4 linked regions of the Rhinolophus ferrumequinum genome follow. The protein of the gene in region 1 purifies or fractionates together with the protein of each later gene. This does not show direct contact. Links are inferred from orthologs where the notes say so. Each region holds a gene or a part of one and is shown in the gene's direction. Other genes may lie near its edges.

Evidence for each region. Proteins that work in one complex are often made in the same cells at the same time.
Region 2: the proteins of NEURL4 (region 1) and MAPK6 purify together in Homo sapiens (affinity purification with mass spectrometry; 6 studies listed by BioGRID and IntAct, counting the BioPlex papers as one, with this or other methods). This does not show direct contact. The link is inferred for Rhinolophus ferrumequinum from reciprocal best matches to the Homo sapiens genes NEURL4 and MAPK6.
Region 3: the proteins of NEURL4 (region 1) and CCP110 purify together in Homo sapiens (affinity purification with western blotting; 4 studies listed by BioGRID and IntAct, with this or other methods). This does not show direct contact. The link is inferred for Rhinolophus ferrumequinum from reciprocal best matches to the Homo sapiens genes NEURL4 and CCP110.
Region 4: the proteins of NEURL4 (region 1) and CEP97 purify together in Homo sapiens (affinity purification with western blotting; 4 studies listed by BioGRID and IntAct, with this or other methods). This does not show direct contact. The link is inferred for Rhinolophus ferrumequinum from reciprocal best matches to the Homo sapiens genes NEURL4 and CEP97.

Annotation. Positions count from the first base shown.
Region 1 is NC_046304.1:11,515,011-11,522,680, forward strand, and holds the start of NEURL4 (neuralized-like protein 4), read left to right. Parts: upstream 1-4,537; 5' UTR 4,538-4,552; coding exon 4,553-4,834; intron 4,835-5,753; coding exon 5,754-6,198; intron 6,199-6,413; coding exon 6,414-6,479; intron 6,480-6,631; coding exon 6,632-6,930; intron 6,931-7,097; coding exon 7,098-7,209; intron 7,210-7,300; coding exon 7,301-7,389; intron 7,390-7,670. UniProt on the Homo sapiens protein: Promotes CCP110 ubiquitination and proteasome-dependent degradation. By counteracting accumulation of CP110, maintains normal centriolar homeostasis and preventing formation of ectopic microtubular organizing centers.
Region 2 is NC_046289.1:55,959,342-55,967,247, reverse strand, and holds the start of MAPK6 (mitogen-activated protein kinase 6), read left to right. Parts: upstream 1-4,575; 5' UTR 4,576-4,746; intron 4,747-5,260; exon of another isoform or gene 5,261-5,408; intron 5,409-7,906. UniProt on the Homo sapiens protein: Atypical MAPK protein. Phosphorylates microtubule-associated protein 2 (MAP2) and MAPKAPK5.
Region 3 is NW_022680357.1:15,414,342-15,422,286, forward strand, and holds the start of CCP110 (centriolar coiled-coil protein of 110 kDa), read left to right. Parts: upstream 1-4,614; 5' UTR 4,615-4,843; intron 4,844-5,713; 5' UTR 5,714-5,795; intron 5,796-6,472; 5' UTR 6,473-6,618; intron 6,619-7,945. Other genes in the region: GDE1 (glycerophosphodiester phosphodiesterase 1), read right to left, coding at 2,998-3,258.
Region 4 is NC_046285.1:30,664,667-30,672,105, forward strand, and holds the start of CEP97 (centrosomal protein of 97 kDa), read left to right. Parts: upstream 1-4,108; 5' UTR 4,109-4,292; intron 4,293-6,544; 5' UTR 6,545-6,725; intron 6,726-7,439. Other genes in the region: RPL24 (60S ribosomal protein L24), read right to left, coding at 410-473, 759-895, 3,032-3,142, 3,721-3,796, 3,919-3,923. UniProt on the Homo sapiens protein: Acts as a key negative regulator of ciliogenesis in collaboration with CCP110 by capping the mother centriole thereby preventing cilia formation. Required for recruitment of CCP110 to the centrosome.

The DNA of each region.
Region 1 (7,670 bases):
TTCCTGTATGTGAACTTTCCTCCCTCCTCCCCTCTCCTCAGTGACTGAGCAGGCCCAGTCTAGGCATGCAATTCATAGCACCCACACTATTGCTCTTCTTTTTTATTTTCTACTCGTAGGGTGGTAAGGGCAGGAGAAGGTTGGCTCCCACCCCATCTCCAGCTGGCTATATTCTCCATTGTCTGGCTTCCTCCTGAGTCCATCGAAGCCGCAGGGATTCATCTGGAGAGAGAAGGGGTTGGGTTAGTGGTTTTCTTGCAGCAGGCATGAGATCTAGCTCATGTGACCCCCCCAGACTTCCTACAACCTACCCTCAGCCCCTCTCTCTCCCTGGCCAGTGCAGGCAGCCCCTGCCTGGGCTCATGTCTGCACTGGTTTTGGTTTGGGGAGTTTGGGTTGCTTCTAGGTTTCCTCTCTGAACCTTCTGGGCTTTGGCAATTCAGCCTTTTGGATGCCAGACACTGACACCAGCCAGACACTGCTTGGGACCCACTGTCTTTGGAAGACAGGGCAGTACTAGGAGTGGGGTGGGTGGCAGAGAGGAGTCAGGAAAGAGGCATGGGGCCAGCACGTGGTGCCAAGCTGGAGGGGGTCCCAGCCCCTTCTGGGACTCTCTGGTTCCTGTCTGTACAATGTGGGCCTTGCACACCAGGAAGGTTAGAGCCTTAGCACCTGTTGCTGATCTACTGGCTTGAAAGGAGTAGGGAGTAGGGGGATGGAAGGTTGCCAAGAGCAAGGCCCAATGAGATGGTGGCCTGGTGCCCTCACCATGCTGCAGTGGTGTCACTGTCACTGTCAGGGAGTTCTTGATGGCCTAGGATCCCGAAGGGGGCTTCCTGTGTGGTCCAGCAAATGGACCTCAGTTCTTATGGAATTCTCACTCACCCGGTTCAAGCTTGTGGAGCCTGAGAGCATCATGTGATCAGGGTTAGGGCACCCATCAGTCTGTTGGTTCTCAGCCCTCCCGCCCCCAGGCTGACCCAGCCCAGTTCTCACTGTCCCGCTCCTCATCTTCTGTGTCTTCCTCAAGCTCTGGGTGGGGACAAGACCTCAGGTATCTTCCTTTGCTATAATATTCCTTGCGTTGCAGATCAACCTCCTTGCTGAACATGACAGTGGCCGAAACTGGGGACTGATTTCTGAAGGTAGAGGAATCTGAGGAGTCACCCAAATCTATCTGAGTCTTATGGCCACCTAGGGTATCTAGGCCCCCCAGGTGTCTACTGTGACCACCACCACCACCGCTGCCACCACCATCACAGGGGAGAAGCTCAAGCCCCAGGTTCTCATCTCACTTCTATTACCTCCTCCCATTTTAGAAAACCTTCAGTGACTTCTCCATCCCCCACAGCTCTCTTGGGCTTTCTGTTCCTCCTCACCAGCCAGCCTTCCCTGGGGACTATCCTCAGGGGGGACCCACCCCAGCTGCCCCTCTGTCTTCCCTGGGGTCACCTCCCAGCATTACCTCCCCCTCAGGCAGCAGGGCCCTGGGCCGATCGATGCCCCCTGAGGAAGACAGGCTATGGTGGAAAAGGCTCTGGACTACAATTCCCTTGAGTCCCTGGGGCCCCACCATAGCTAACCCTTGGCTTCTAGGATGTGGTTCCTGGTCATCAGGCCAATCTCAGCTTTGACTCCTCTGCCCGGTCCTCCTGCCGAGCCTCTCTCCACAGTCCTGGGCCCTGGGTCCAGCATCACACCTTGACTGCCACCGTCCATACTGACATTACCCCCGTTGCTGTTCTTGTTATTACCCAAGTGCAGGTTTTTCTGAGTCTTGAGGAACGTTCCTTCATTGTAATGTGCCTTGCGGCGCTTCTCAAAATCACTGAAGTCTGTGGGCCAGTTTAAGAGCTCGGCTTTCCCCGCCATGCTCTCACTAAAGAATCACTCCACCTCCCTTTTCCATTCAATCCCCACCCCTCATCTCACTTGTCTCGGGAAAGTCGTCTGAAGACCCTGAGCTTCTGTTATCACTGTACTGGAGGACCTTGGGGTAGAAATTGTCCATTGTTGCAAACCTGAATGGGAGGGAGATTAGTTGGGGGCACTGAAGGGAGAAAACAACAATGGGGGCAGATGGTAGATGGGGCCAAGCTGGCTGACTTCCCCACCTTAGCCTTGGCCTGATGGGAACTATAGTACCTCTCATTTCGGGGGCTGGGGGGCGAAAAAGCAGAGCTAGCTAAGACTCTAGAGTTCTGAGGTCTGAGGAAGACGCCCCACATCCCTACTGATCTGGCAGGACTCTCACCTCTGTGCTAGTGCCTCAGGAGTCACTGTGTGGGAGGACCCTGGAAGCGGGTTCTCATCATCTCTGTTCTGCAGCCTGCCAGGGAGAGAGGAAGCAGTGTGAGAGCGGGGTAGCAGGCAGGATCCAGTCCCTGAGGCCTCTCCGCCTCCTTCCCCATTCCCTCCTTTGAATAAGGAAGAGTCTGGGCTAGAGGCTGAGGCTGAAGGTTCAGCACCTGTGGTAGGGAGTGCTGGGCTCATCCACCTTCAGAAATCCGTAGTCCTTGTCAGCAGGGTGGTAGGTGGCCATGATGTTCATTTCATCCCAGTGCTGAGACTTTTTCCTGGGGTGGCGGAAGGACACAAAAAAGGGGGAGGAATCCTAGTAGCATGCTCCTCACAGTCATCCCTAATTCTTTCAGTCATTCAAAACCTTATCCTTTTACCACCTTGGAGTTCCAGAGGCATTGGAGGCAGGGATGGGGTCACACCTAATGATAATCACATACTAGTAGCCGGAGTTTATCTGGTATCTGCTGCTCTCCCAAAGATTTGGAAACTCAGATTTCCCTCCCAGTTGCCCTCACCTATTCTCACATCTAGTCCTCAGGATTCCGCTCCTTCCCACCTGGCTCCGCCCCCTTCAATGTCCGGAACCCCTCCCTCTGGGCTGAGAGCTGCCTGCCCGCTGAGCTGGGATCCTTACTTTTCTGCACTGGGGGATTTACACATCAAAGTGGAGCAGCAATCTTTTAGGATACTCCGGGTACGATCCTCACAGGGTTTGTGGGGGTGCAAGCAAGTTGACCCGGAGAGCAGATTGCATCCTGAGTTGTGCACCCCAGGCTCCTCGGACCCAAGGCCGGACGTCCCGGATACACTGGTTCCAGGAAAGGGGGGATTAAATCCGCCAGGACGTGTGCCGGACCCAAGGCTGTGCCCCGCAACCTCCCCAGAATGCTGATTGGGCCCGGAACCGAGGACCTCTACCACCCCGGAGGACCGGCTAGAACCAGGACTGCAAATTACGATTCCCCCGGAGTGCCGGGAACGCCCAGAACAGTGAGACAAGATTACTCCGGAGGGCGGCCTGGCGCCTTCCTCCACTCCTCTGATGCCTCCTGGCATTGCCCTGAGTACCCCTCCAGAGGATTCCCCGGTTGAGGCCGCCAGCAGCCCCCAGAGATTCCTGCTTCTCCATGGCCCCACTAGGGGGCCACTCTCAGCTACCCCGTCCTGCCTCCCTGCTCCATCCACATAGCTCCACCGCGGCGGGAGGGGGAAGCTTGGGCTATGGCCCGGGCCCCCTCCCGCTTTGCTCCACGAAGTCGCGGTGGGTGGAATCAAGACTATATAGGGACCTCCGGCTGGGAGCCCCTCCAGTTGCCCTTCCCTTTTTGTCCCACCCCCAAATCTTACTTCTTTGTCTCTGGGATTTGTTCCCGCCCTTCTCCCATCACCGCCCTCATCCTAATTGTCCAATCATAGTCAGGGGTCCTGGTCTTGGGGCCAGAGGCCTTGTGACGTCAGTCCTCCAACCCTAGTGCGAGCATCGGATTTGGGCTGGGGGCTTAATAGCTCTGGGGGATCTTTGGGCACTATCAGCGCCATTGCTTGAAACTGCCGGGGTTTGTTTGGACTTATCTGTGGCTTTAAAATCTAAGTTTGATTGGATTGGAGTTCCAGATGAGCTTCACTGGAAACATCCGTGAGCCTTTTCCCCCTAAAAGTCGGCCTGCTTTGCCTCTCACGAGAGATGGGATACAAAGTGGAGGGATTGCGACACTGTCGCAAGACATATCCCCTCTCAGTGGTGTGGCGGGCAGAGATTTTCATTTATGTATCTACCGGTTCCCACTCACACCACTTTGAAGCGTGTAGCGTGAAGAAAAGACACCTCCTCCTTGCCGTAAAGCGAATACTAAAAGATGTCGCCTGCCTCGACGGGGGCGGGGTCGTTGGTGCCGCTGTCGTAAAGCTGAAAGTTTTAGGTGCCCGCACCCCTCCGTCGTAAAGATGCCTGCGGCAGTCGTTTCTTCCACTGTCGCAAAAACTCCCTGCCCAAGTCTTCACCCCTCTCGGAGCCACTCCGTCACCTTGCCGTGCCGTAAAGTAAACCTTCCCGACCCCGTCGTCCTTCTGTTTCCACCGTGGTAGTCATTAATTCCCTGGCTCGGGATGCTTCAGGGCCTGGCCGTGCCGTAAAGCATATCTGCCCACCCCCCCCAGCCCGAGGTCCTATTCCCTCAGGGTATCTGTGCACCGCGGTTGCCACGGTGCCGCCAAGCGCGGCTGTCGCGCGGCCCCGGCGTCAGCGGCGATGGCGGCGGGGTCGGGTGGGAGTGGGGGCTCTGGGGGAGGCCCGGGGCCCGGACCTGGTGGGGGTGGAGGCCCTGCTGGGAGCGGCCCAGGACCGGGGTCTGGCGGGGGTCTGGGCAGCGGCGGGGAGCTGCACCCGCGCACTGGGCGCTTGGTGAGCCTGTCGGCCTGTGGGCGTACAGCGCGGCGGCAGCAGCCGGGCCAGGAGTTTAACCACGGGCTGGTGTTGAGCCGGGAACCCTTGCGCGATGGACGCGTCTTCACCGTCCGCATCGACCGCAAGGTGTGTACCTGGGGCCCCGGAATCAAAATATGGAGGGTGGTGGGAGGGGACCAGAGGGAGACGAGGTAGGACAGCCAGGTTAGCTCACATCACCGGGTACCAAGAGGGAACCGACAGACAGGACACCAGGTGACAGGCAAGAAGGGAGCATGAAACAGAAACATGCAGTCTGAAGGAGAAGGAGACAAGAAGAGCTTTAGTTTTACCAAGACCCAGGAGCAGGGAAGGGACACGGGGCCTCACTCACTAGAACGAGTAGGGAACAGAACTTATGGAACAATTTCTGGGAGATGGAAGATGGAGAGATGTCAGAGATGTGATGGGCAGAGAAGAGAGATAATCAAGGAAAGAACAGACCATTGAAGGACAAATTCAGGGTTGGTTGGGTAGGAAAGATGGGTAAGGAGAGCTACTCAGGGAGAAGGAGATGTATGTATGTGTTTGTGTGTAATTTAGTAAAGAGACCAGAATTTGGAAAGAGAGTGAATCTGAGTGGAGCCAGAGACAGGAGAGAATTAGGCCAGGGGGAGGAAAATTATATACAAGAGCAAAGAATATGGGTGCAGAGAGCTGTGAATTTGGGTGGCTGAGGAACCACAGAGCTTAGCAAAGTTAGAGGAGGCAGGGGGCTGAAGCCAGGGAATTTGGCCATCATATTGGGGAAAGGATTGGTATTGCAGACACCGAGTACCCACAGTACAGAGCAGAGTTGCTGGGGAGAGCAGACTAAACAATCCCTGAAACAGAGTCCAGAAAATTACTTGTGGGACTGCATCTCTGGATTAGCGTCTCATGTCTCAAGAGAAAAAGCCAATGAAGCTGTCTGAGAGGTGGGTTGAGGGGTTGCAGTGGCCTGTAAAATGTGGTTGCCTAGTGGTGGGAGACCCATCCTGACCCTGTATCCATCACCCCATCACAGGTCAACTCCTGGAGTGGCTCCATTGAAATTGGAGTGACGGCACTGGACCCCAGTGTGCTGGACTTCCCAAGCAGCGCCACTGGGCTGAAGGGGGGCTCGTGGGTAGTGTCGGGCTGCTCCGTGCTGAGGGATGGACGTTCTGTGCTGGAGGAGTATGGTCAGGACCTGGACCAGCTTGGCGAAGGGGACCGTGTGGGCGTGGAGCGTACGGTGGCAGGGGAGCTGCGGCTCTGGGTGAATGGGCGGGATTGTGGTGTGGCCGCCTCAGGCCTGCCTGCTCGTGTCTGGGCTGTTGTGGACCTTTACGGCAAGTGCACCCAGATCACTGTGCTACCCCCTGAGCCAGGCTTTAGCTCTCCTCCTCCCATTCCCACACCTCCCCTTGAGCCCTCTGCTCCCTATGAAGATTCTGCCTTGGCTGAACAGGGAACCTCTGGGGATGAAGGTGAGAACACAGTTAGGGCAGTGGTGGAGGGGTGGGACAGAGGGAATGGCCGTCGGAATGGGGGAAATGTAGTGACAAGTGACCCTGGGTGTGGGCAGGGTCACTCAGATCCGAGTCTGTTGAGGAGAGTAGGAGCTAGAATAGGGGTCTCCTGGCTGTGGGCCGTGCAGCAGGGGCTGAACCCTTATTCCCCTCCCATCCTGCCTGGTCCCCAGTCTTCATGGTGTCCCCAGCGCAGGCCCGGCCGGAGATGTTTCCTAACAGCCTTGAGTCGCATAATGGTGAGGGCTTCGAGGAAGTTCCGGGAAGGGGAGCGGGAAGTGAGGTGGACAGGGAGGGACTTCAGGAGAGGGGTAGGGAGAAAACTGCAAGACTGAGGGTTTGAGGGTATACAGCCTCATTTCAGCTTCCTTTCTTTGTCCTGCTACTATAGACTTTGGCAGCATGGAGCTATCTGAGGTGGTGAGCAATGCCATACTATCTGCCTACAATGGGGGCCTCCTAAATGTGAATCTGAGCTCCCCACCAGCAGGGGAAGGGCTGGGGTCTAGCTGTGCTGCCACCTCGCCCATCCTCACTTCCAACGATGCCCTGCTCTTTCACGAGAAGTGTGGAACTCTCATCAAACTCAGCAACAATAATAAGACGGCCGAGCGTCGCCGGCCCCTGGATGAATTCAACAATGGGGTTGTCATGACCAACCGCCCGCTCCGAGACAATGAAATGTTTGAGGTGTGCAAGATCCTGGGGTCTGGCTGGCACTTCACCCTCTGGGAGCTAAAGATGGGGCGTGATCCTTGATGTTGGAAGGGTGGAGACTGGGAAATTGCCACGGGCTAAGTGTCCTTTCTCTGCATTTACATTCCCTGCCTCTCCCTTCTGCTAATATTCCACTCAAGATCCGCATCGACAAGCTCGTAGATAAGTGGTCAGGCTCTATTGAGATTGGCGTCACTACCCACAACCCCAACAATTTGGAATATCCAGCCACCATGACCAACCTACAGTCAGGTACCAGCCACTGGCATGGTGGGGGCAAGGAGCTGGGGTCGCTGAGTTCAAGGAAACCCATACCCTAACCAGGGTGGTCACTGTCCCCTAGGCACCATCATGATGAGCGGCTGTGGGATTCTGACCAATGGCAAGGGCACCCGCCGGGAGTACTGCGAATTCAGTCTGGACGAGCTGCAGGTGAGAGTGGGGCACAGCCTGGGCCACTCTCCCAGGGCGTCCCGGTATGCTGCATCCTTGCCTGGGCGCTGCAGTCTCCTCTGTGACCTAGAGCAAGGCCCTTTATCTTTTGTCTGAAGATTCTTTCTGAGAAGGCAGGGTTCCCCAACAGGCACTCAGATTTTAGAGTCCATGGGTTCAGTTCCCCTTACTGTTTGGCCATTTGTGGTAGTGACCTGAGGCAAGAAGATTATCCCTTTTGGTAATTTCTTCTTTTCAGAGAATGTCTAAAAAGAGCTTGT
Region 2 (7,906 bases), on another chromosome or scaffold:
TCCCTAAAGAGAAAGTTGCTTTAAAAATAAACGACTATATGGAGGAAAGCCTTACCTTTCTGAAGTTTATGTCATAGAGGGCAATTGCAATATTCAAAAACAGTTCATTTTCAACAAACATTTATTGAAAGAACACTGTATGCAGGTACTGTGCTCAATACTAGTTTACAATGAATAAATACAGAAGTTCACAGTCATTGTCTGAGCATGCCAGACTGGATGAATCTTCCAACTCAGCACAGCTTTTCTTGTGTTCTTAATGGATTGGCATCTGGTTTCCAGTGTACACTCTCTGGGGTTTGTTTGGTGTGTTGGTTGCCAGAGACCAATCAACCCTGGTGAACCCGCAATCAAGTTCTTCAAGCTGTAAATCTTAAGGACTGGATTCTTCATACCACCCAGAGGATAAAGTGAAGTTATGACTTTTAATAACCTTCTCAGTAACATTTATTTACCTGGGTTTTACAAACAGCATCATTTTCTATGGTCTCAGCATTTCTGAGCTAGGATGGTACAGAGAGTCTCTGTATGACTGAGTTATGCTACCAAAAGTTGATTTCTAACTTGGTTGTTTGAAACTGAAAATGATTTTCCCCAGAGAGGCAATGGGATAAATACCGGTTGGTTCTCAGGACAACTCTTAAAAGCCCAGTTAGCCCACATGCAGCTCAACCATGAGGGTGAGAACTGTGACCCATAACATTGTTTCCACCGGAAAAGATGCCTCAGCAGCAGAGCAAGGTCTTCCTTCCTCCTCCACTTCCTACCTCCATGAGTGTGTTTACTACAGGAAATGCAACTTCTGAGTGTAGGTGGCTGGGCCTGTGACCTTGGACGCCTTATCCACCATTCTCTGCCTCTCCTGCCCTAGCCTTGTCAGTGAGGGGAGTTGAGGGGAGTTGGGGAGTCTTTCCCTGACCCACCTTCTTCAGAGTAGGGCTGTTGGGACTCTTTTGGGGGTGATTCAAAGCCAGCTACATAATTTCTGGGGTCCCTTGTTCAAAAGTAGGGGAAAAAAGCAGCTAAAGGTATTAAAATACAAAGCTTATTTCCTTTCTTCTAGTCTCTCTCTCTTGATGTGTTATAGTGTTTTAAATTTAGAGTTAACTATTATAACGATTTAATATCATTCTAAGTAAGGAAAATTAAAAATTAGCATGAATTTTAGACTTAATTTTTGTACAATGCCAGTTTGAAATACAAATATAACAGCATTTAACTCCTTTGTGAAATCACACAATTCCTATTTTGTAGCTCACAAAGTGGTCCTCCCCTTACCCGCAGGGGATATGTTCCAAGACTCCCCTGTGGATGCCTAAAACCACAGATAATACTGAACCTTATACATACTATGTTTTTAAATTATACACACATACCTATGATAGTTTAATTTGTAAATTAGGTAGAGTAAGAGATTAACAACAGCAATAATAAAACAACAATTATAACAATATACTGTAATTAAAGTTACGTGAATGGCTTTGGGGCCATTATTTACTAAAATAAGGGTTACTTGAACACAAACACTATGATACCTCAACAGTCCTATGCTAACCTGGATGGCTACTAAGTGACTAAAGCATGAGTAGCTGGTAGCCACATACAGCTTGATATACTGGATAAGGTATTGATTCACATTCCTGGTGGGATGGAGGAGGACAGCTGGAGATTTTTACCACGCTTCTCAGAACCGCGCACAATTTATAACTTATGAATGTTTATTTCTGGAATTTTCCATTTAATGTTTTTGGACCATGGTTGACCATGGGTAACTGAACCCATGGAAAATGAAACCATGGATAAGGGAGAGAGAACTGTACACAAGAAAGGGTGGCTCCTTAAAGAACATCAGCATATTGTTACCATAGTAAAGTAGGCTGGATGCAGGACAGAAAAAACGATGGATTTTCCTACTCTCTCCCTATCTCCAATCTCTTGTTCATTTAATCTATCCTTCCCATCCATGCCAGAATTATTGTTCTAAAAAACTAGTTGTATCATCTAAATTCTTCTCCTACTACCTTTACATAAATCCAGAAGTTTTGGCATCTAATCAAGGCTTTCTCATTCTAGTGCTAACTTGTCTTCATTTCCCTGGGGCCTGTCAGACTCTTCCCATTTTCCAAAGTGTGCCAGGCACATTCATGCCTTTGTACATTCTGCTCTTTCATCCAGAAATGTCTTTTTCCTGATACTTCCTGATGGAAGTATCAAATATTGTCTCTTCCAACTGAAGCTTTCCGGATGTTTACAATCATTATTAATTGTTACTTCCAACAAACGCAGGTAATTTGCATCTTTGCTTAGGAAGCATCTCATGCTACCTGATGGTGTACACTTACCTGTTCCTCTCCTGTATTCCTTCACTACAAGGGCTTTCAAACTCTTTTAACAATAGCATGGCTCATAGCAATAATAAACAGTAAGAGTGAAAATACATTTTATGTTGTATGCACACTTATATATACATTTCATCAATTTAAAGAAGCATTTCCTCCATTTTAATATCTCTGCAATCAAGATGTAGCAATAGGCTATCATATTTTGGTAGAGTTTTCACTTTCTTAATAGTACATAAAGTAATGGCATGTCATAATTGATGACATAGATTTGTTGAAATATGGTACAGAACTGAAACAAAAGTTTCACAAAACAATGTTTACCATTTGTTATGGGTGAGGCTCCCTAGTCTTTCATTCTATTTCATTATTAAAAAATGCAGATTATAATCACCAAAATCATTTCACTACTCACTTAGGAAGTAGAGAAAAACTACAGAAAACTGACACTTTACAGCTACACAATGGGATTAAAAACTAAGGCTGACTACATTAACCTGACTTTACAACTCAACTGTCTGCATAAACGACTTTAATTTCAAGAAATTCTTGCCCAAGAAGAAGTTACAGTTAACTTAATTGCAGTTTCAGGAACTTCCTCAAAAAAAAAAAAAAAAAAGTCCATTTTCCTGAACAAGACTATTGACTGATCTCACTTTCATCAGGGTAAATAGCTCCCTCTTCAACAGGATTACTCTGTTAGGTTTAGCAACCAACTGTTTACTTTTCTAGGCTTGCTTCAAAACTCTCCCGTGTCCACTCATCCTAAATGATTATCTCATGAATTTAGCTCAATCTCAATCATGCTCTTTCACTGAAAGACCTGTCTTAAACCAGATCCTCCGAATCTTCTAACTACCAACATAATGATCTCTTACTGCTGTAAGCAATGAACTTGGCTTTGCTTGCTTAACAGGTTATTTGGGTGGTCCTTGCTGGAAGTCAGGAGCTGACACTACATTTTAAACTCCACCAGGGATGACACAGTGCTTGTTATTTATTTTCCTCCCCTCTTCCTCCTGGTGATCCAACATTGATGGATGGGGAGGAAAGGTGTCTTACGAATCTGATGGGAGACTAGAGTTGGATCAGTAAGGGATGTATAGTGGTTGCAGGTAAGGAACTCTTGTTGTAGAGGCTGCATCCACAAATTAGAAATCCTGGGGTTGGAACAAGCCTCCCCTTTCTCTCGGTTTTATCTACTCACAATCTCCTCTTCACACCTGGTACTCAGATGGTATTGTTTTAAATACAAAACATTCAAGTTCCCTCCAAATCACTTAACTTCAAGCCACTATGTGATCTTTGAAGTGGTCTTTGCCTCACGCTTGAAGATGAGCACAATAATGGATAAAGGCTGCCAAACGTTTGGTTCTCATCAGGAATGGAATTAAGTCATTGAAAAAATATGCTGGCCAGCGTCTCTCATTTCATAAATAAATACCTACATAAATTTCACATAAACACTGGAAAGGCTCCTTGGACTTAATAAGCCAGGATAAATAAAATAAGTTTGCCTTTCATCTAAATAGGCACCAATCCACATTTCCCACTACATGTCCCAGTGTAGCTCTTCCCAAATTCTACGCTTCTGTAAAACTGGCCTGGTCCCAGTGCCTGCAACAAGCCAGGTGCTTTCCCTCTTTCTCTGCTGTTTCTTCCGCAGGAACACCCTCCCTCTCACCTCCTCTGGTTATATCGGTTTCTTCCGATCCAGCTGAAAGGTCACCTGTGTCGACCTCACTTAGAAGCCTTTCTCCACCCCCTCAGGCAGAATTAATGGCCTTCTTAGCACTTGGCCTCTAACGCGATTGCCTTGTAAATCGGCTGTTGCCTTCTAGCCAATCCATCTTCAGGTCCGGCTTTCTTGTTTCCGGCTCATCCGGGAGACAGGGATGAAGGCCTTTTCATTTTGGACTGCCTAGTGCCTTGCATGTAGTAGGTGCGCAGTAAACGCTAGGAGTTTTAGCCACTTTGTGTCTAGTGCTAGAGCAAGTAGCCGAGCAGAGAAGGCCCGTCTGGCCACCTCCCCGCCGGCCGCCCAGCCCAGCCCAGCCCAGCCCAGCCCAGCACACGGAGGCGGCTGATGAGCCCGCGTGCTTCTCGGGCCACCCCCGCGGCGCGCGGCCCCCAGTCACAAGCGTTGGAAATTCCGACGCGTGCAGGCGCGCGGGGCCGGCCGGGGGCGGGGGAACCCGTGGAGTGAGCCTGTGACGTGAGGGGCGTAGCTTCACGAGGCCGCGCCCCCTCTCCCTCGCCCTCTCTCGCGGGTCGGGGTTACATGGCGGCGACTGCGGCAAAGCGAGAGCCTCGGAGACACCGGTGCCGCCAGCACAGCCGGAGACCTGAGCCGACCCTGGGGGCTGTCCGCGGGTCCCGCACTCCCTCGATGACTCGGAGAAGTCCCGTAAGTGCGTGTGTGTACGTGTGCGGGGCGCGCCGGCGGGGCGGCTCGGGAGGGCGCCGCGGCGGGCCCGGCGGCGGCGGCGGCGGAGCCGGCTCGCTCCATTGTGTGTGACCCTCCGGCGGCCGCCGCTCAACAAAGGCGCTTTTGTTCCGTCTCCCGCCCGCCCCCTGCCCGCCCGCCGGCCCGCCAGCCCGGGCCTGGCCGGCGCGTCCCCTCGCGGGCCGGCGGGCGGCGGGCCGGGGTCCCCGCGTGGGGCCGTCAGAGCGGCCGGCGCGCCCCTCCCACCCGGCACGCCCCTCGCCGACAGCTCGGCCGGGCCGCGCCCGCCAGCCCCGGGGACCCCGCGTGCCGGCTGCGGCGCTGCTGCGGGCCCCGGGCTTCTCAGGTTCGAAGCCCGGCCGGCAGACTAGGGGCGGCGGCCGGGAGGGGCGGCCCGGGCGGGGAGCGTGAGGTGGCGCGGAGTCTCGCCTTCCTGGCACGGTGCCTTTCGAAATGCTCTCGGGTCTCCTCCCCCATCCCATTCCGGTGACTCGGCCTCAGCTGACTCCGGCCGGGCAAAGTCTCCAGTGGACTCGGCAAATTGCGTAGCGCGCACCACTCACCCGGCTCGTCTCAGAGCCATGAAGTCCTCTGCCCAAGTTTTGAGTCTAGCCATAAATGAGGTACAGAAAACTGGTCTGAGTGGGAATTCCTAATTTCCTCCCTCCGCTCTCCTGCAGCCTTGCCTTAGCCGCTTTCGGGACGTTGAGCGGTGGTGGGTGAAAGTACCCAAATGAAAACTTGTTTTGTCCGTTCACTAAAAAGGGCCTTCTGACTTCGCTATGCATTTTTATCTGATTTGGTGTGGTGCGTTGAAAAGTAAAGGTGTTTTGGCCGCCTTTTGTTCCTTGTTTTATTTAGTAAGACTCGTCTGGTTCAGGTGTTATGTGGGAGCTCTGTGAAGCAGGATCTTTTTGATTTCTTTTCTGTCTTATTTTTTCTCTCTTGCTTGTTATTGGAAAAGGTCCAGTGAAGAAAACTGGTGATGTGGAATTAGAAACCTACTGAATTTGTAGCGAAATTCATGTTCTTTCCTTCAGTGCAAAAAAATGCCCTTAAAAGTCAGTCTCAGTATTAACTTCTATTACGGATACAAGGTGATTCGTTGAGAGGGAAAAAAAAAAAATTAACAGGGGACAAAATGGAACGCAGGCTGCTTCAGAGTAATTTTCTGATTGCTTGATTCTTGTTATATTTTAAAGGTCTGGTTGGACATAGCGTCTCTCCAACGTTGGAAAACTGAGATGGAAAGAGTAATCTGACTAGATGAATGTAGGGTCCAAAGAGGGCACTGCCTCTAGAGTTTCTCTTAGAAATGTCAGATTTTAACGTTAGAAAAATAATTGGGTGGAAGAAACTTAACATATCTTGAACGATTCGTTGTTCAAACATGTGTATGAAGGTCTTGCTATGTGCCAAGTTGTGTAAAGTCCTTTCATATATGTTACATCACTTAATAAGGATTGCCTTGTGAAACTTGTAAAATTGCTTATTGGTGTCCTAAATTCAGTAATTGCTGTCATCTAGGAAATGCCAAATTTGAGTAAAACATGTTTTATCACCCAGATACTGCTATTCAGAAAAAAACTGTGGGAAATGGAGAATTATTTATAAAAACCTTTATAACTGGGGGTGCCAAAAAAATGTATACACATGATTTGCATTCATCTTTTGTGATCAGTATATATTGAGTGTTACAACTTTAATACAGTTTTTTCCTTTCTTAAAATGTGTATACATTGTTTTGGCACCCTCTGTGTATGACCACATTTTGGAGTTCAGTTATTTGCAAAAGAAGATGAAAAGCAGTGTTTGACTACCTTCTGTGATTAAAGAATCTAGAGAAGATTGAAGAGCAATTAATTTTGCAATAGAAAAAGCACCTGTTCTAATGACAAGTGTTAGTACTAAAAGTGTTGTAGCATTTTACATAAGTTCATTTAAGCATCGTGAGAATTCATAACTGACAAAATGGTAAGGTTTGCTGACTCAGGGTACATTGCTGAAGGGGATAGGGTCGGGTAGGAGGAAGCTTGAAGTGCTGCAAGTTTTGAGTTGGGTGATGACTCATCCTGCCCACACTGCTACGTGGCCTTTTTTTTATACACTGTATTTTTTTAAAATGATAGGCTAAAATATTTCTGTCCGCATTATAATCCACATTCTCTCTCTCTCTCTCCCTCCCTCTCCCTGTCTCAGAACCACAGTTTCTCTAAAAAAGTAATGGCTTCTTAAATTGCATTTTAGAAGGCTATCATATATCCTACAGGTGGAATTTTGTAGCATTTGTTGAGAGGAAAGGTAAAATTGCTGGTCAGTGCCTACAGTTAAATGTTTCATACTAGCAGTTCTTCGGTTATGATTGAGGTTTATTACAGAGTATTTACAAAGGACAGATAGTACTTTTATGATGTGGGTAGAAATTAACCTTATATCTTCATTGGTAATGTAAAAGTTATTTTTATAATATCTGGAAGCTAGTTTAAATCAGTCTGTAAAGGTGCAGAAATATGTAATCATATATTGCTTTGAGCATGAGCATTTCATTCTGATGGAATTACATACATAGTGCTTTTTCCTGATCTATATGAGTTTTCTGCTTTAATAAAGACAACTTGAAATAGGTATTGTTATAGGCACTGTTTTCCATCAGTATTTTTATTTTAAAGATAAGCTGAATGTATAGTTCCAAATTTAGGACATGCACTGACTGATGTTTGGTAATTAAGATATTTTGGCTGATTTTAAAAAGCTATCATGTAGCATTGTGGCTTAAAATAAGATTTAAAAAAAGGAAGATTGAGAGTAACAGGTTGTTTTAAAAGTGAGAAGAAAAAATTCCCCATTCCCTCATTTTTCTTTGTATACTATTTATCTTCTCAAAGTGACTTATTTGGGGGTGGCTGGTTAGTAGCTCAGTTGGTTAGAGCATGGTGCTGATAACACCAAGGTTGCCAGTTCAATCCCTGCATGGGCCACTGTGAGATACCCCATCCTTAAAAAAATAAAAATAAAAAAATAAAAACTGAGATACTCAAAGTGCCTTATTTGAAGAGCTTTATGAGCAATGAATATATTGTTAATGTGAATTAAATCTTGGGAGAGATTTTGGAAGAGTGTT
Region 3 (7,945 bases), on another chromosome or scaffold:
TTAATCACTGTGACATTACTATGGACACTACAGAGGCAGCTGAATTTCTCCCCCTTCCTCACCGCTTAAAGTTGACGTGCATCCTTCCCTTATCATTTCCCAGAGGCCTTTGTGTATCTGCTGTACACTTAAGTGCCTATAAACAACCTACAGCACTCTACTAACGCACAGTAAACATTCAATAAATATTAGCCATTGTTAGGTACTGGGTTGTTTTGAAACACTGGATTATCAAATTTATCAATGTTCTTTACGGGTAGAGAGTTTTCTATCTTTTTAAAATCTTTTTCTATCCCCCATTTATAAACACATACACCCATATTTTCTTCTAAGCTACAAAGGCCACCAGGGAGGAGGGAGCCACAACGTGGGGACTGCCTACCCAAATCTATCCTTCTTCTCTGCTGGCGGAGACTGGCCCTTGCCCCAGTGTTCAGTTTCTCCTGGGCTTAGAGTAAGTGGACTACTCCCAATCCCTCTGTCTGCGTGCGTGCGTGACGGAGGCTTCTGGGAAAGAAACGTGGGAGAGGACGTGCAGCCTTTTCTTGAGATTAGATGCTGGTGTGTAAGAAGGTGATGCCTGGGGTGCAATGGCCACCTGGCAACCGCACAGAGGACTAGTACAGATATGCTGCAGATGGCAGAGCAGATGGATCCATGAAACCTGAGTCCTCCATGATCACAAACTGAATGGCTGAAGAAACAATCCCGGAAGTCACCTCTCCCACACACACTTGTCATGTGAGAGGATAACCCCATTATTGTCTGCGATATTTGTAGTAAACTCTCTATTACACGAAGCCAAAAGCATTCTAAGAAACACCCAGGTGGTTGGAATAGACAGATTATGGAGTTTGAGAAAGACACAAGATAGAAAGGTGTTTGGATTTTATCTAACTGCAACAGAGAACCACTGGAGGGTTCTAAATAAGGGCAGGATAGTACAATCTGATTTATACTTTAAAAAGGTACTCTGGCCTGTGTGGAGAATGGACTGTGGGTAAAATTTCATCACTGTCACTATGCGTAATTGTGTATGCTTTTGGAATACATTCATTTCATCTCTCAGTCCTTCTCTATCTACAGAAGGCCATTCCCTTCATCTTGAGTTCAAAAGAAATATATAGTGTATTTCCATCAAAGTTTGGTTTTTGTCCTGTTCTTTCTCCCTTTGCATGTTTGCATCTCATAATTTATATTCTTAAACTTTCTATGATGTGAAAAATCACGGAAGACTTTCTGACAATGGTAGAACTCTTGGGTTGTTTTCCTATAGTGTCATCTTTCTTTTCATGACAATTCTATCTCCTGTGTAGCTATGTTACTTCATCTGACCGCTCTGAGTTTTAGTTTAGAATATAAAATACACCCTTCAATATCTTTAGATTTCTTTTTAAACAGAAGGCTTAAAGAGCTGTTCTGCCTCCCTTCCATCGCAAAGAACCACGGGGAAAGAAGCACAAGAGAAGTTTAACTTGGTTTATAAACACAGAGTGAAGTGCGCTCCAGTAAATTACAGGCTGCCTTCCAGACTCCCTTCCTTCTTCACTTATTTTTTTTAACCTTTACTCGGAGATGATTTTAAAGGATCAAGCCATCTTTAGATTCTTGGCCTAAAGATCTTACATGAATGGAAGTCTCATCATGGGCCAAGCACTTTGTGTCGACTGTCTCACTGAATCACAACCTACTAAGTGGATGCCAATAGTATTCCCATTGTACAGATGGGGCAATTGAGGTCAGGGCTAGGACTAGAGTGAAGGGAGGTGTCCTAAGGTGCCTGGCCTGCCATACCCTAGTCATGACTCTAACTGGGACACACACAACTTAAGTAACTTGCTCCTTATACAACATTGTCTGTCCCTAGCTGGACAAATAAAGGATACTCAGCCCACGTTTTCCCATCCTGGAACAATTCTAATCTATGACAACGTGGATTGGGGCTTGGAATCAGAAGGCTGAATTCAAGGAGCCATGTATTTGAGTCAGTTTTCCTACCCATTCAATGTTAAAATAATGTCTCAAAGAAACGAGAGGACCAGATCTATTTCCTCAGATGCAAAAGAACCTAGACAACGCAAAAGCTCTCTTGCTATGTAAGCTGTCATTATTATTGTATTATTATTGTGAAGCTGCGAGACTGCCAGGAGAGCCCTGTGAAAAGGGGAGGCAAAAATTCATCAGGAGTCCCGCTGACATGGTTGTCTGAGTGTCAGTGTGTTTGGGGGAAAAGGTGATAAGGAGATGACGTGGGCAACGGCTGCTCCTGGGGAGGGGATCCATTTAGCGTGAACTCAACCACTGATCAAGCCTCTGCTTAGCCTGGCCACGTTTCTTCCTTCACTCCCACACCAGCCTTCATTTTATTCCTTGAAGTCAGGCCACAGAACTGCCTATTCTGTCACCTGAATATTCCAACACCCTTCCCACTTCAGGACTTTCGCTCTTGCTGTTCCCTTTTCCGGGGACGCCTTCCCCCCAGATCCCTGTCTGGGTCTTTCTCATAATCTCGATTTCAGTTCGCACGTTCTTCTCTTCAAGAGGACGTCTCTGATGACTGTCTAAAACAGCTTAACTCCTCCTCTGGGTCATTCCTTGTACCATTACCCTATTTCTTTTTTGCGCTTTTCGCTCTCTTCAAGTGTCTCATTTATGGGTTTCCTCGTTTAAGGCCTGTCTCTCCCACTGCAAGGCAAGCTCTGTGAAAGCGGGGCCCTTACGGACTTGTTCGTGTGTCCGCGGTGCCTGGCACATAGCAAACATGTCAATATTTGCTGCTGTTCTACAAATTCTTGAAGACTTTCCAGACTTCAGAGGGATGTTGGGCCACTTGAATGTCTTCCTGGCGGACGAATGGGGTACTGGGAAGGCTGTCGTGAGAAGACTGGGGAAGCTTGGGAAGGGCAAGCAGAAGTCCAAACTCCCAGGAGCGGCGGAGGGGCGCGAGGGGGGAGAGATGGGGGTATGGGGAGGAAGCAGGGGGGGGGGGGGGCTCACCTGCCGAATGGCCGCCAGCGTGTTTTCGGGCGCGTCGTGGCTGCCGCCGCGGTGGGCGATGGCGGCAACGCGGTCCCGGGGCTTGAGCACCTGCAGGGCCCTGCGGGGGGGCACAGGCTCAAAGCTGAAGAGACGGAGCAGAAGGTAGAGGCTGCCGGTGAAGAGGCAGGCATTGAAGGGGCTACGTGTCACCAGCAGAAACAGCAGCAGCAGGAAGGAGAAAGGGCCCAGGAGGCCCCCCTGTTCCTCCCACAGCCACATGCCGGCGCCCGCACCGGCACGGACGGGAGTCCCGGACCCGCCGGGCTCCTGGGACAGGAGAACGAGAAGCGAGGGCGAGAGCCCAAGGCACTCGCCGCAGGGGACACCCTTCAAAGGGACTAGCGCCTCACAATGGCGGCGGCGGCGGCCACATCCCTGGAAGGGGCTGGGAGTCCAGCCAATCAGGGCCCGGGATCTGCGAGGACGGGGGCGGAGCCACTGCCATGGCAACGGAGGCGGCCCCAGGCCCCAGGCCCCAGGCCCCAGGCCCCAGGCCCCAGGCCCCAGGCCCCAGGCCCCAGGCCCCAGGCCCCAGGCCCCAGGCCCCAGGCCCCAGGCCCCAGGCCCCAGGCCCCAGGCCCCAGGCCCCAGGCCCCAGGCCCCAGGCCCCAGGCCCGCATTCCAAAAGTCCAAAAGTGGCTTTTGGGTTACTCTGGGATCTGGACTTCAACCTGAGCTTTCAGACTCCGGAAGGGGAGGGATACGAGAGCTGTTGTATAGTCGTAGGACTGGATGGGATCTTAGTGACTCCTTCAGTCTGCCTTCGAGGACACCGCCCAGCAGTGAACAGGATCTACAGGGTTCCTACTCTTGCGGGGCTTACGTAATCGTGGGGGAAAATAATTGTGTTCGGGGGTACAGCTAACATTCATAGAGCACCTACCATGTCCCAGGTTCTGTGCCAGCGAACGCTTCAGTGGGTAGGTATTATCTTCACAACAGCCTCAGTGGGTAGGTATTATCTCAGGAGACTGAATTCAGTTGATTTTTAGGAGGGTTTTTCAGACTGAGGGAACGAAAGGGCATAGCAAAATGAGCGAAAACCAGATTATAAAGCTGGAAGGCATTTGAATGATTCCCTCCTTGTGCAAATGAGGAAACTGAGGCCAGGAGAGGTGAAGCGAATTGAGCCATTAATGGCAGAGTTAAGACTGACTCAAGCCACCCCAGTTTTAGGCCAGTGACTTTTCCACTGCTACTTCTCCTCCTAACCTTACGTCCTGCCAAGGGCTGGTCATGGGGCTTACGAGCCAGTTATTGGGCGAGAATTATCTGCTGCTCCTCATAACCACCCTTGTGACAGTCACTTTTAAAACTCTCATTTTACATATGCAAAAATAGGCACGGGAAGGAGCGTCAATAAGAGAGGCAGAGCGTAAAGTCAAGTTACAAAATGAAAGGTGTCACTATATCATTTGTAACGGTAGAGGCGCTAGCTCGCAGTGAAGACTACGTTTCCCGGCGCGCACCGCGCTTCCCGTAAGTACCACGCCCTTCATCACTGGCCTAGGAGCCTTACCCAGGCGCGCAATGCACCTCGGGGACTGTAGTTTTCTGGTGGCCCAACGGTTTCAACGGCCCGGGAAGCAACCACCGGAAGTGCCCACCCTGAGAGGTGGAGTCTGGGCGGCGGCGGCGGTTGCCAGGAGCCCGCGTTGCCGCCTGAGACCCGTAATATGGCGGGGAGGAGGAGGAGGCGGCGGCGGTGGACCGAGCTGCTCTCTGTCAGTACCAGTTGAGCCATTTGCTTCCTGACAAGGCCTGTGGTGAGGGGAGGAAAGCTGACCCAGCCGTAGGAGATCAGGTGTGTGCGTGAGGAGGGGCTTTGACTCCGAGGGTCCCGCCACCGGGCGAGGCGGACCTGGCGCCCTGAGGAGCTGAGGGCGGGCTCCGTACGGAACCCGAGCGCCAATGCTGGGCTCCCGGGCCTCGAGCCCCTGGAAAGGCGCCGGTGTGGGGAGGCGGGGGCCCCGGTGCCCGTGGCACCCAGCGCGGAGGTGATGCTCGGATGGTGGCACCACCGCCTGGTGGGCCCTAGGGATGGAGCCTTATCCAAGGAGCTGGGGGAGGTGGATGTGGGGCGCTGGCGTGAGGGTCCCGGGTACATAAACTCCGGCCCGAGCCTGTCTCCTTTTGATAAAACTGGGCCTATTTAAATCACCGGGCCACGAGGCTGGCGAGGGAGGCGTCCCCAGGGTGTGTACTGGCCATTTCTGCACGCGGGTTACCACAACCGGAGGCCCTCGGAGCGCTGTTTACTCTGCCTTCGCGACTCTCTGGGGGCAGAAGCATGAGGATAATAAAGCAAATTATCTTGATTGCCTCTCATGCTGCTACGTGGTTCCCAATCTTTGCTTCTCTCTGGTTTTGATCCAAGTTCCCTACCCCCCGCGTTGAGGCAAATGACAGGTGCTAGAGATTGATTCAATGGGAAGGGGTCTGGAAAAATAAGAAATGAGGACGCTGTTGTCCCCCTTTCCATGTTTTACAGTTAAGTTTGAATCTTACCAGGAACCACGCACTGTTCACTGCCCTCCAGGAGTTCATAATTTAGTGATAAGCCACCATCATCATCATTATCACCATCATCATCTGCATAATAAAAGCAGCCCCCCCCCTTTTATTGATGCTTTCTGCATGTCCTGCAGTATACTAATTGCCATCCGTGTGTTAGTTTCTTGAATCCTCACAGGATCTCTTTGAGACAGATGAGATTATCCCTATTTTACAGATGAGGAGACTGAGGCATAGAGATGGTAAGTGAATTGCCAAGAACTTACAGCGAGTGTGTGCCTGGATAAGAAACCTTCCCCTGTATGGCCTCTGCAAGAGGTTTATGTCTTTGGGAGGACGGATGGGTAACCAACCATCTAGAATCTCTAAACAAGGCAAGATCTGTTCTGTGTTACTTTTACCATTCCCTTCAGTGATGTGACTCGTAAAGCACTGGTGAGGAACAGGGCGCAGGCGCAGGGCCATGAGTCGAAGGGGTTTGCAAAGAGGCTTACTTGGAGAAGGGTCATGGTATAAATGGGAAAGACGAGGCATGTCTGAACTTGATGCAGCTGACAAATTATTAATGCACGTGAGCCGGTAATGCCTGATGGTCAAGTATGGGGCAGTAGATTTGTGGTTGGTGTGGCCGTGTAGTCAGGGCTCCCTAAAAATAAAATCCTGCTGACAGAGGTGATTGTATTGTGAGAAAGGCGGCTCCCTCTTGCTCAATCGTGCAGGCTATGGATGCTCACTTTGTAAGTGGCTGCCTTTGCAGTTCAGAGGTGCCAGTTTCTGTGAGAATAGGGTCATCCATGAAACTACCACTCTTCCTTGCTAGCTGCCTTGCTATCTAGTCGATCGCTGTTCATCTTTTTCCTGGTTTGCATTATTCTTTGAGCTAACTACCCTGATGTATTTGTTCAATACTTTTATCAAGTGCTACTGAGTGCTGGCGCTGTTCCTGTGTCATGGGGATTCAGTGGTGAGCAAGAGTGAGAAAGCACCTGTGCTTATGGAGCTCGTGTTTCACTGGAGAAAGGCAGACAAAAACCAAGGCAACAAACAAGATAATTTCAGATAGTGGTAAGTGCTGTGGAAATTGGTAAGAAGCAGTATAATGTGGTCGTGACTGATGCAGGGTTAATTTAGATGGGGGACCAACAAGCTGAGGCTGAAGGATAAGAAGGATCCAGTCATGCTCTTCTAGGATCATTTGGTAATTTCCATAGTCAGCATATTAGCACTTGTATTTGGATATTTCATGCAATAGCAGATGCCACAAGTTATGCTGAAATAATAATAAATTACGGTCCACCTGCAGTATGTATGACATACATGTACTGTTTAAGGGATATGAATTTAACTTTCTGAAGCAATGAGGCATATCTATGTGACATTGTTGAAAGAAAACTGAAACTATTGTAAAGATACTTTGTTTCCTTAAATTTCCCAGACCTTTAAAATAGAATTTCATTCTTTGTTTGTGTAGCCATAGGAAGTCTATTAACATTAATTGTATGAGTAATCTATTTATGTGCCGTAAAATGCTGGATGCATGGATTGTGGTAAAAAATATTTGGAAGTATTTTAATCAAAATGGGGTCGTTTGAATTTCTCTTACGTCTTAGCTTCTGCATATTGTGATTGTTAAGATAATCGTAATCATAATGTAGGTTGGACTCTAGACTGAAAATGGAGGCCTTGCTATGGTGACATTTCTGTGAATTAAACGCTCACTTTGCATAATTTGAATATGGAAATATTTAGAATTGATGGGATGGTAGGAAGAAGTTATTAAGACTACCAGTTGGTCAATCTAATCATAATTTTCATATGCTTTTTCTTCATTTCTAATTGTATTATAATTTGTCCCTGGCACTTCAGTGTACTGAATTTTTAAGTACCTGGAGGCTTAGGACAGTATCATATTCTCTCTTATTTCATCTTTGCATATCCTACATCATGAATTGAATCTCCCTGCCCTCTGTCTTTTGTTAATTAATTAATTGTTTTAAAATGAACACTGAAAGATACATTACTGTATTAGTTTTTCTGTCCTCACAGTTCATTCCCTTGTTGGTTATGAGTCTGATGATGACTCCCTTTTTATTTTCCCTTGCTTATTTAAAGGAAACAATGCCAGACATAATGCTATGGAAACAGGCAATCAAATATTTAATGCTTGCTAGCTGAATGAATATGGTGGCTAATCCTTCCTGGTTCCCTTGTATTTTCATAGCCACCATTACACTTTTCCAGAAATTGTGAAGTTACAGGGTTGATTGTTTTAAGTAGTTTGGCAATGGTTTCAATTTTCAATGATCAACTAGAATTATTATGAGAGCCTATAGATTTTCTGTTTTCCACTGCTGACTGATTTGGCCAGTGACCATGGAGTCATACTATGTTT
Region 4 (7,439 bases), on another chromosome or scaffold:
AAAAAGATAACACATTATGTGGTATTTTCCCATGCAACTTTCTTCTTTAACCGATTACCCTCCCGTATGTCCAAATTCTGCATGTACCCTAGATTGCTTTCCTATTTAATGGCATTCCCAATATTACTCTTAAGAACCCTCCCCCAAAGTTAAAAGTCCACCTTTCTATGAAATATAAATGAAAGACAAAGATACTGTCATAGACTGGATGAGCTAAGGAGACAACAAATTATTTCAAAATAAACTTTAAGAAACAAAACACCCAGAAACCAGCTATGAACATTATTTCCATTAGAGCCCTGCACCAAATTCTTTAAAAACTTGAAACTTTCATTTACCACAATTTGGATTTAAAAAAACCCCTTTCCTGTTGTTCTAAATATGAAATCCAAGACAATCCCACAATTACCTTAGCAGCAGCCATTGCTGTCTTTTTAGATGCTTGCTTAGCCTTTTTTGCTTCCTTGGCAGCCCTGTAGGATTAAAAATAACTTAAGGTAAAGCACTTTACTCCTTAAGGGTACAGCTTATTAACAAGGAGCTAGAGTGTTTGGAAAAATGGAATTATCATATTCCTTTCCCATCTCCAATTTTTAGGATAAATCCAAAGGGTTTGTCACCAAATGTCATTAACCACCAAGTCAGCATAACATAGAAATTGCATAGTTTTAACTGCATATAGAAATTTCAAATCATTTAGACTATGTCATAAACTTGATATTAAACCTAAATAATGCTGACAATGAAGGCTCCCTCACCTGATAGCTTGTTCTCGCTGAGCCTTCCTAACTTCAGGTTTCTGATTTCTCTTGGCCATTATATCAGCAAGAGACGCACCAGTGATGGCCCTCTGGAATTTGACTGCTCGGCGGGTTCTTTTCTTTTGAATTTCTTCCTACAAAACAAAAAAATAGGGAGCACACTTATGAACCTTGCTTCATGAATTTGGGGGAGAAATGAGTAAGTTTTTAAGGCAGGGGATGTGAAGTCTTTTACGATTAATATTTGTCCTAGTCCATTTGCGCTGCTGTAACAAAATACCAGACTGAGAAGCATACAAACAATGGACATTTATTTCTCATGTTCTGGAGGGTGGAAGTCAGGGTACCAGCACTGTCAGGTGAAAACCCTCTTCCTGCTATAGCTAAATCATCACATATGGGGACAGGGGAACCCTCTCTTGGCCTTTGTATTATGGATTGGTTAAGCCATCTATTGTAAATCCTGGCCATTTTTTACTACTTTAAAGAGACAGAAAGTTAAACTCTGAGGAAGTTAATTGGCTAGTACTTTAAAAGTGATTTTAGTAAGACCATTTAAAGAAGTTACTTTTGGGAAAAAAAGATCAAACCTCAACTCACTTGTTTTGTTTTTACTCAAAGTATGATCACTGGTAGAAATAGTCAAGTTAGAAAATCACGTATTTTCTACGCTGGTGACAGGAAAGCCACCAAGCGTCAGGGAATCAAGACAGTACAATCCAACCATTTGCTGCAGATTTTATACTGGAAACCTACACTACAGTGCTTCTGAGAAAAAAGACCTTGCAGCACACTGCTTAGTCCAAGAAAAATTAAAATGTATGTGAAGAACTGTTTTCTAAAGCAGGGATAATGCCAAATATCTTTAAAATTTTAAACAGACTATATAGAGAAAATAGGGCACATTTGTGGTTAACTAAAATGCTCCTTTTACTTGTTTATATTTTTCCTTCTCTCAAATCCATTTTTAAAATATTTTTTATCGTGGTAAAATATACGTAACATTAACTAGCCCATTTAAAGCATTTTTAAGTTTATAATTCAATGGCATTGAACACACCCACAATTATGTGCAACCACCACCACTATCCATCTCCAGAACATTTTCAACATCCCAAACTCTGCATCCATTAAATAATAGCTCCCCATTCCTTCTTCCCTCACCTCACCCCGGTAATCTCTTTTTGTCTTATGAATTTGCCTGCTTTAGGTACTTCATAAAAGTGGAATCATACAATGTTTGCTCTTTTGTGTCTGGCTTATTTCACTTAGTATCTAAAAGGTTCATCCATGCTAGCTGTCTGGCTGTCAGCTTTTTAAAACTGAAAAACATTCCATTTATATACCACATTTTCTTATCCACTCTTCCACTGATGGGACACTTGGATTGTTTCCACCTTTTGGTGATTGTGAATAATAGTGTTACGAACATCAGTGTACAAATTATCTGTGTAAGTTCCTGCTTAAAATTCTCTTAGGTTATGTACTTAGAAATGGAATTGCTGGGTCATACAATAATTCTGTTTAACTTTCTCAGAAACTGCTAACCTCTTTTCCACAGTGCCTGTACCATCTTAAAACGCTACAATGCACAAGGGTTCCAATTTCTCCACGTCCTCACCAACATTTGTAATTTCCCTTTTTTGATAATGGCTATCCTATTGGATGTGTCAAACCCACTTTTAAATTAGTTTAGAAATAAATTTCTCCTTCCTCTGAACGCCCACAATACCTAGTAATGTCTTTCACCCATGAGTCTAAACACTTCAGCAAGCCTCCTGGATACTAACCCTATTGCCTTAGCACTTAACTTTTTGTCGTAAATTTCTGTCAAGTAAAAAGAGCACTTCAAAAACAAACCCAGTCTTCTTGAGTACTAGTATGCTGGAAGATTCTACCGATTATCTGTGTTAGGACTAATCCGATACACATAATAATCAAAACCAAGTTCCCATAACTACTTAGTTTCCACCCACTGTAACACCTTAAACACTTCCATGGTGCCCTGTAACCCAAGTGAGCTTTATGTTAATTTATCTGACTTGGACAAAGGGACACTTTCAAATTTCAACTTGGTATTTACCGTAAGCCTAATAAGATGTATAAGGAGGCACTGTTAATATCAATCATTTTCACTTCACTGAAGCTTTGCAGTTTAGGAGCACATTCACATACCCTCTCATTTAGTTACAATTTTACAGAGCAGCAACTGAAGGTCAGCATTTAAACAAATTAAGAGAGAGCCCCACATCAAAGTGCATTTTACTTACCGACTGTCCTTTTTTGTGCTTTCTTCTATAGAGAACAGTCCAGTTTATCTGTCGAGGATTCCTCTTGGAAAGGAATGCCGACTCACATTTTGCATTAAGAAATTGGAAAACCTGTTGTGACAAGTTCAAAATATATAAGTTACCTACTCAACTATACAAAATAGAAAAGGCTGAGCTTGAAATCCTTAGCTAATTAATATTCCAGTTTTATCCTGTGCTTTTTACAAAATCGAGGCCCAGAGACCCAATAGTTTGTGTCACACAACTGGCAGTTAACTGTGTAGCACCTCCAAGATCTTTGCATTTGGTCCTGTCTTTTCTCAAGAACAGACAGAGCTAAACTCATGTCGCAGGGGAGGGTCAAATTCTGGGAGGCAGCTAGTTCCTGTTCCTTCCGGGATTCCAAGAGGACCTGGTGGGTGCCCAGATACCTCGGTGGCCCATTTCCCTCACTCCGGGACATTAGTTACACAAACTCCTACTAATTTTCGACCTGACTCACACTAGATCAAAGATCAAGAATGGCTCACTTAGAGGTTTCTGATCCTTACAACCACTACACACAGGGTCCCCAAAGCAAGCCTTTCAGGGACCACGAAACGATGTGTTAAATGACACCGCCTAGACCAAATTAGACCCGTCTTTCCTCTTAAAAGTAGAAAACGCGTTTAGCCGACGCGGCCTTTCACCTTCCCGTCGGTCCTGGCGTAGCGCCTCCCGTGTCCGGGGTAGATCTTGTACCCACTGAAACTGCACAGCTCGACCCTGTAACGAAAAGCGAACGCCCATTAGGAGGGGTTGTCTACGATGAGAAGCCATACCCAGGACGCCCGAGAGGGGTTCTGCCCGAAGATGGAAGCGGATTAGGATGCCGGGCTCCCGCTTACTTCATGGCTACGGCTGCCGGAAAGAAGGAAAGATGGTGAAGAGGAGAGGATCATGGGTAGAGGCCTTCTAAGGCCTTGGGGAGCCAATCTCCGCCCCCAATTCCCTTTTCTAACCCGGGCGCTTGGTGATGACGTCACAACTACCAGGCGACTTATCTAGGTTTTAGCTGCGGCCACTTTCTTGCGGAGGAATTCTGCAAGAGGCGGCGGAAGCTCTGCGGGGTGAGAGGGAAGTGACAGTCACCCAGGGAGGCAGGCGCTTGGTTTCGGAGTCGCTCTCTCCTACAGTCAAATGTCCTAAAGCCATCATCCTGCTGCAGGAATGTGAATTCTCCCTCTTACAGTTGAGTGACCCACAGACGAATACCCCTCAGGTAAAACTTAAAATCACATTTTTGCCCTCCGTGTTCGCCCATTTCCTCAATCAAAAACATTGAATTTTAATAGTTTCACCATTTGCAAAAAAAAAGACATCTGAACTGTTTCCCAAGCCGTGCAAATCGAGTCGTGCGTGATGGCGCGTTACATTCATTATAATTAACATTCATTGAGTGCTTTCTCTGTGCCAGGACTAATGCTAAAGCATTTACATACACTGGTTCATTCAATTTACAAAATCCCTGTTACGTAAGCGCTGTAAGCGCCTTAGTACCGCAGAACGACGACTGCGGTAGGGGAAGAGCTAGGCTGCGGGGCTGTTTCCTATTGGAGCTCAGGGGCCAGTGGTTGCACAAAGAAGGGCAAAGCCCTTGCCTGGAGGCCTGGAAAAGAGAGTTCTGATCAGACCCACCCGAAGGTCAACGCCTTAATCTCTCTAACCTTCTGTAATGCTAGATAAACTTCAGCATATGATGAATGGGGAGTGGCAAGAGTCAATCCTAGGAAACAGAAATATGATTGATTTATGCTATCTATATAAGCAGCCTTACCCTATAAAATTTCTGTAAGGAGGTAGTTGAAGAGATTTGGAAAATCCAATAAGGTGGCTCATTAAAGTTAAGAAAGCTGTACAATTATGCTGGAACCAGTCTTAAGAATGAGTTAACAGAGATCTAGGTGGAATTGAAAAGCAAAGCAAAGAGGAGAAATTTGACAGCCTGACCAAATGTGATCAGCTGTTGAGAATACCTGGTGTACTTCAGAAAGATACTGTCTACATAGACTATGGGCAGATAAATGCTTCAGCCTTACATGGCTCGATGAACTTATTCAACTCTGACATTCATCCAACTCTTTGTTTTAAATCACTGCTGATTAAACAAATGTTTGATCATTAAAATAATTTTTTGTTTTCTGAATAGTCCTGGTTACTATAAGCTCTGAGTCGGCTGGATGTAAGTAGAGGGTGGAGCCAAGATTTACCTGCAGGAATTTGGTTCTGTTTGCTCCACAGAACCCCAGAATTTATAGACTCTTTCCAAGCATTTTAGAAAGATTTTGCTTTATTGGCCTTCAAAATTGTGTTTGGCTTGACTGGCTCGGTATAGTTAAAGTGGGAAACTGGGTCTTAAGGATTTTAGCCTTTTAACTCTTCTTTCGTGTTGGGCATTCTTGAGGTAGTATTTCATGGTCCTTTGTAACATTGTGTGTATCATAAATGAAATTGTGCTCAAACACTCTTAGAATAAGAAATTATAAAGAAACTCCTAAAAACATTTTACGTTGTGTAGTAAAGCACAAGTTTCCAACACCATCCATAAATTTTTGCTGACTTTATCCTCACATTCTCTTTTATAGACAAAAGGCTCAGCTGTACTCCATTATCTTATTTATTTATGGAGCAATTTGGAACTAAAGTTGGAGCTCTTCTCAACTCTATATACCTCCTGAGAACAGACCATTCTTCTCTTCACTGCTTCTTCACCTTTTATACATACTCCACCTTCTGTATTAATTTCCCATAGTTGCTATACCAAATTAGCACAAACTTTGTAGCTTAAAACATCGGAAATGCATTTTCTTTCAATGCTGGAGGCCAGAAGTCTGAAATCATTGTCACTGGACTAGAATCAAAGTGTCTGTGCTCCCTCCAGAAGCTCTGGGGGCAGAACATGTTCCTTACTCTTCCAATTTCCACCTAGATAAACCCTCTTGAATTCCTAACCCATAGAAACTGTGAGATCATAAATGTTTATTGTTTTAAACTACTATGATTTGGGAATCGCTTATTAACATAGCAATAGAAAATACAGGAGGTAAGGAAATTGTCAAGATCAGGACTTAGTGAATAGTGGTGTCATTTGTAAAACGACAGATAAGAGTGGGCCGGCTCGGTGGCTCAGGCGGTTGGAGCTCCATGCTCCTGACTCCGAAGGCTGCCAGTTCGATTCCCACATGGGCCAGTGGGCTCTCAACCACAAGGTTGCTGGTTCAACTCCTTGACTCCCGCAAGGGATGGTGGGCAGCGCCCCCTGCAACTAAGGTTGAACACCGCACCTTGAGGGCTCAGGCTTTGTGAAAGAAGGGGGAGAAGAGAAAGCAGTATTAGGCAGGAAAAGTTAAATACATTGCAGGACCAACTAAACATCAGTCAGCCCTGCCAGGAGCTCTGGAACAATTATTGCCTGCCAGAGTATCCCATGTTGGGCCAAATGATCAACCCTCTTTATAACCCCACTTTGCTTAGTCACCAGATGTGGGTTGCTCCGGAGAGTCACGACCTGTTAGGTGGTTCTCAGCAGCTGAGCCAGACCCTGCTGACAGCTGGAGGATGCAGCTGACCACGATGCCCTTTGTTGGGCAGCAAGCCCTTGCTCGCAGAAGGATCTGGAAAGTACATCTCTGTGTTTACCACCCCTAGAAAACAAGTAAGTGCATTCTGAGTGTTTTCTTCCAATAACATTCTCTTCTTAGGTGTAGGAAGGATCTTGCCTCTTTTAGAATATACCACCATAATTCCCAGCAGGCTGATCAATCCTAAGACTCTCAGGCATTGACTTCAGGGATGGCTTTGAAAGCAATGTCTAGTAACTGGGTTAGAAAATTACCAGGTTTAAAAATTATACAGCATTAAAAATTACGAAGTATTCTTAAAAATTATAAAGTATTCTTTAAAAATATCTAGGGGGGGCTGGGTGAAAAAGGTGAAGGGATTGAGTAGTACAAACTGATAGTTACAAAATAATCATGGGGATGTAAAGTATAGCATAGGGAATATAGTCAATAATATTGTAATATCTATGTATGGTGCCAGGTGGGTACTAATGCGGGGATCACTTCCTAAGTTATATAAATGTCTAACCACTATGCTGTACCTAAAACTAATATAATATTGTATGCCAACTGCAATTGAGAAATAAAAAATAATTAAAAGAAAATACATAACAAAATTCTAATCAAGTCGTCATATGTAAGTACCAATTTATGAAATATAGGGGCCAGACAGACATGTGAAATGACTCCACTGGGATGCAGTTGGCATCTACAGGGTGACTTAATTTCTTCAATAACATGTAAATTGTAAGGAGGGGGAGAGAGAGATTGAGAGAGAGAGAGAGAGAGAGAGAGAGAGAGAGAGAGAG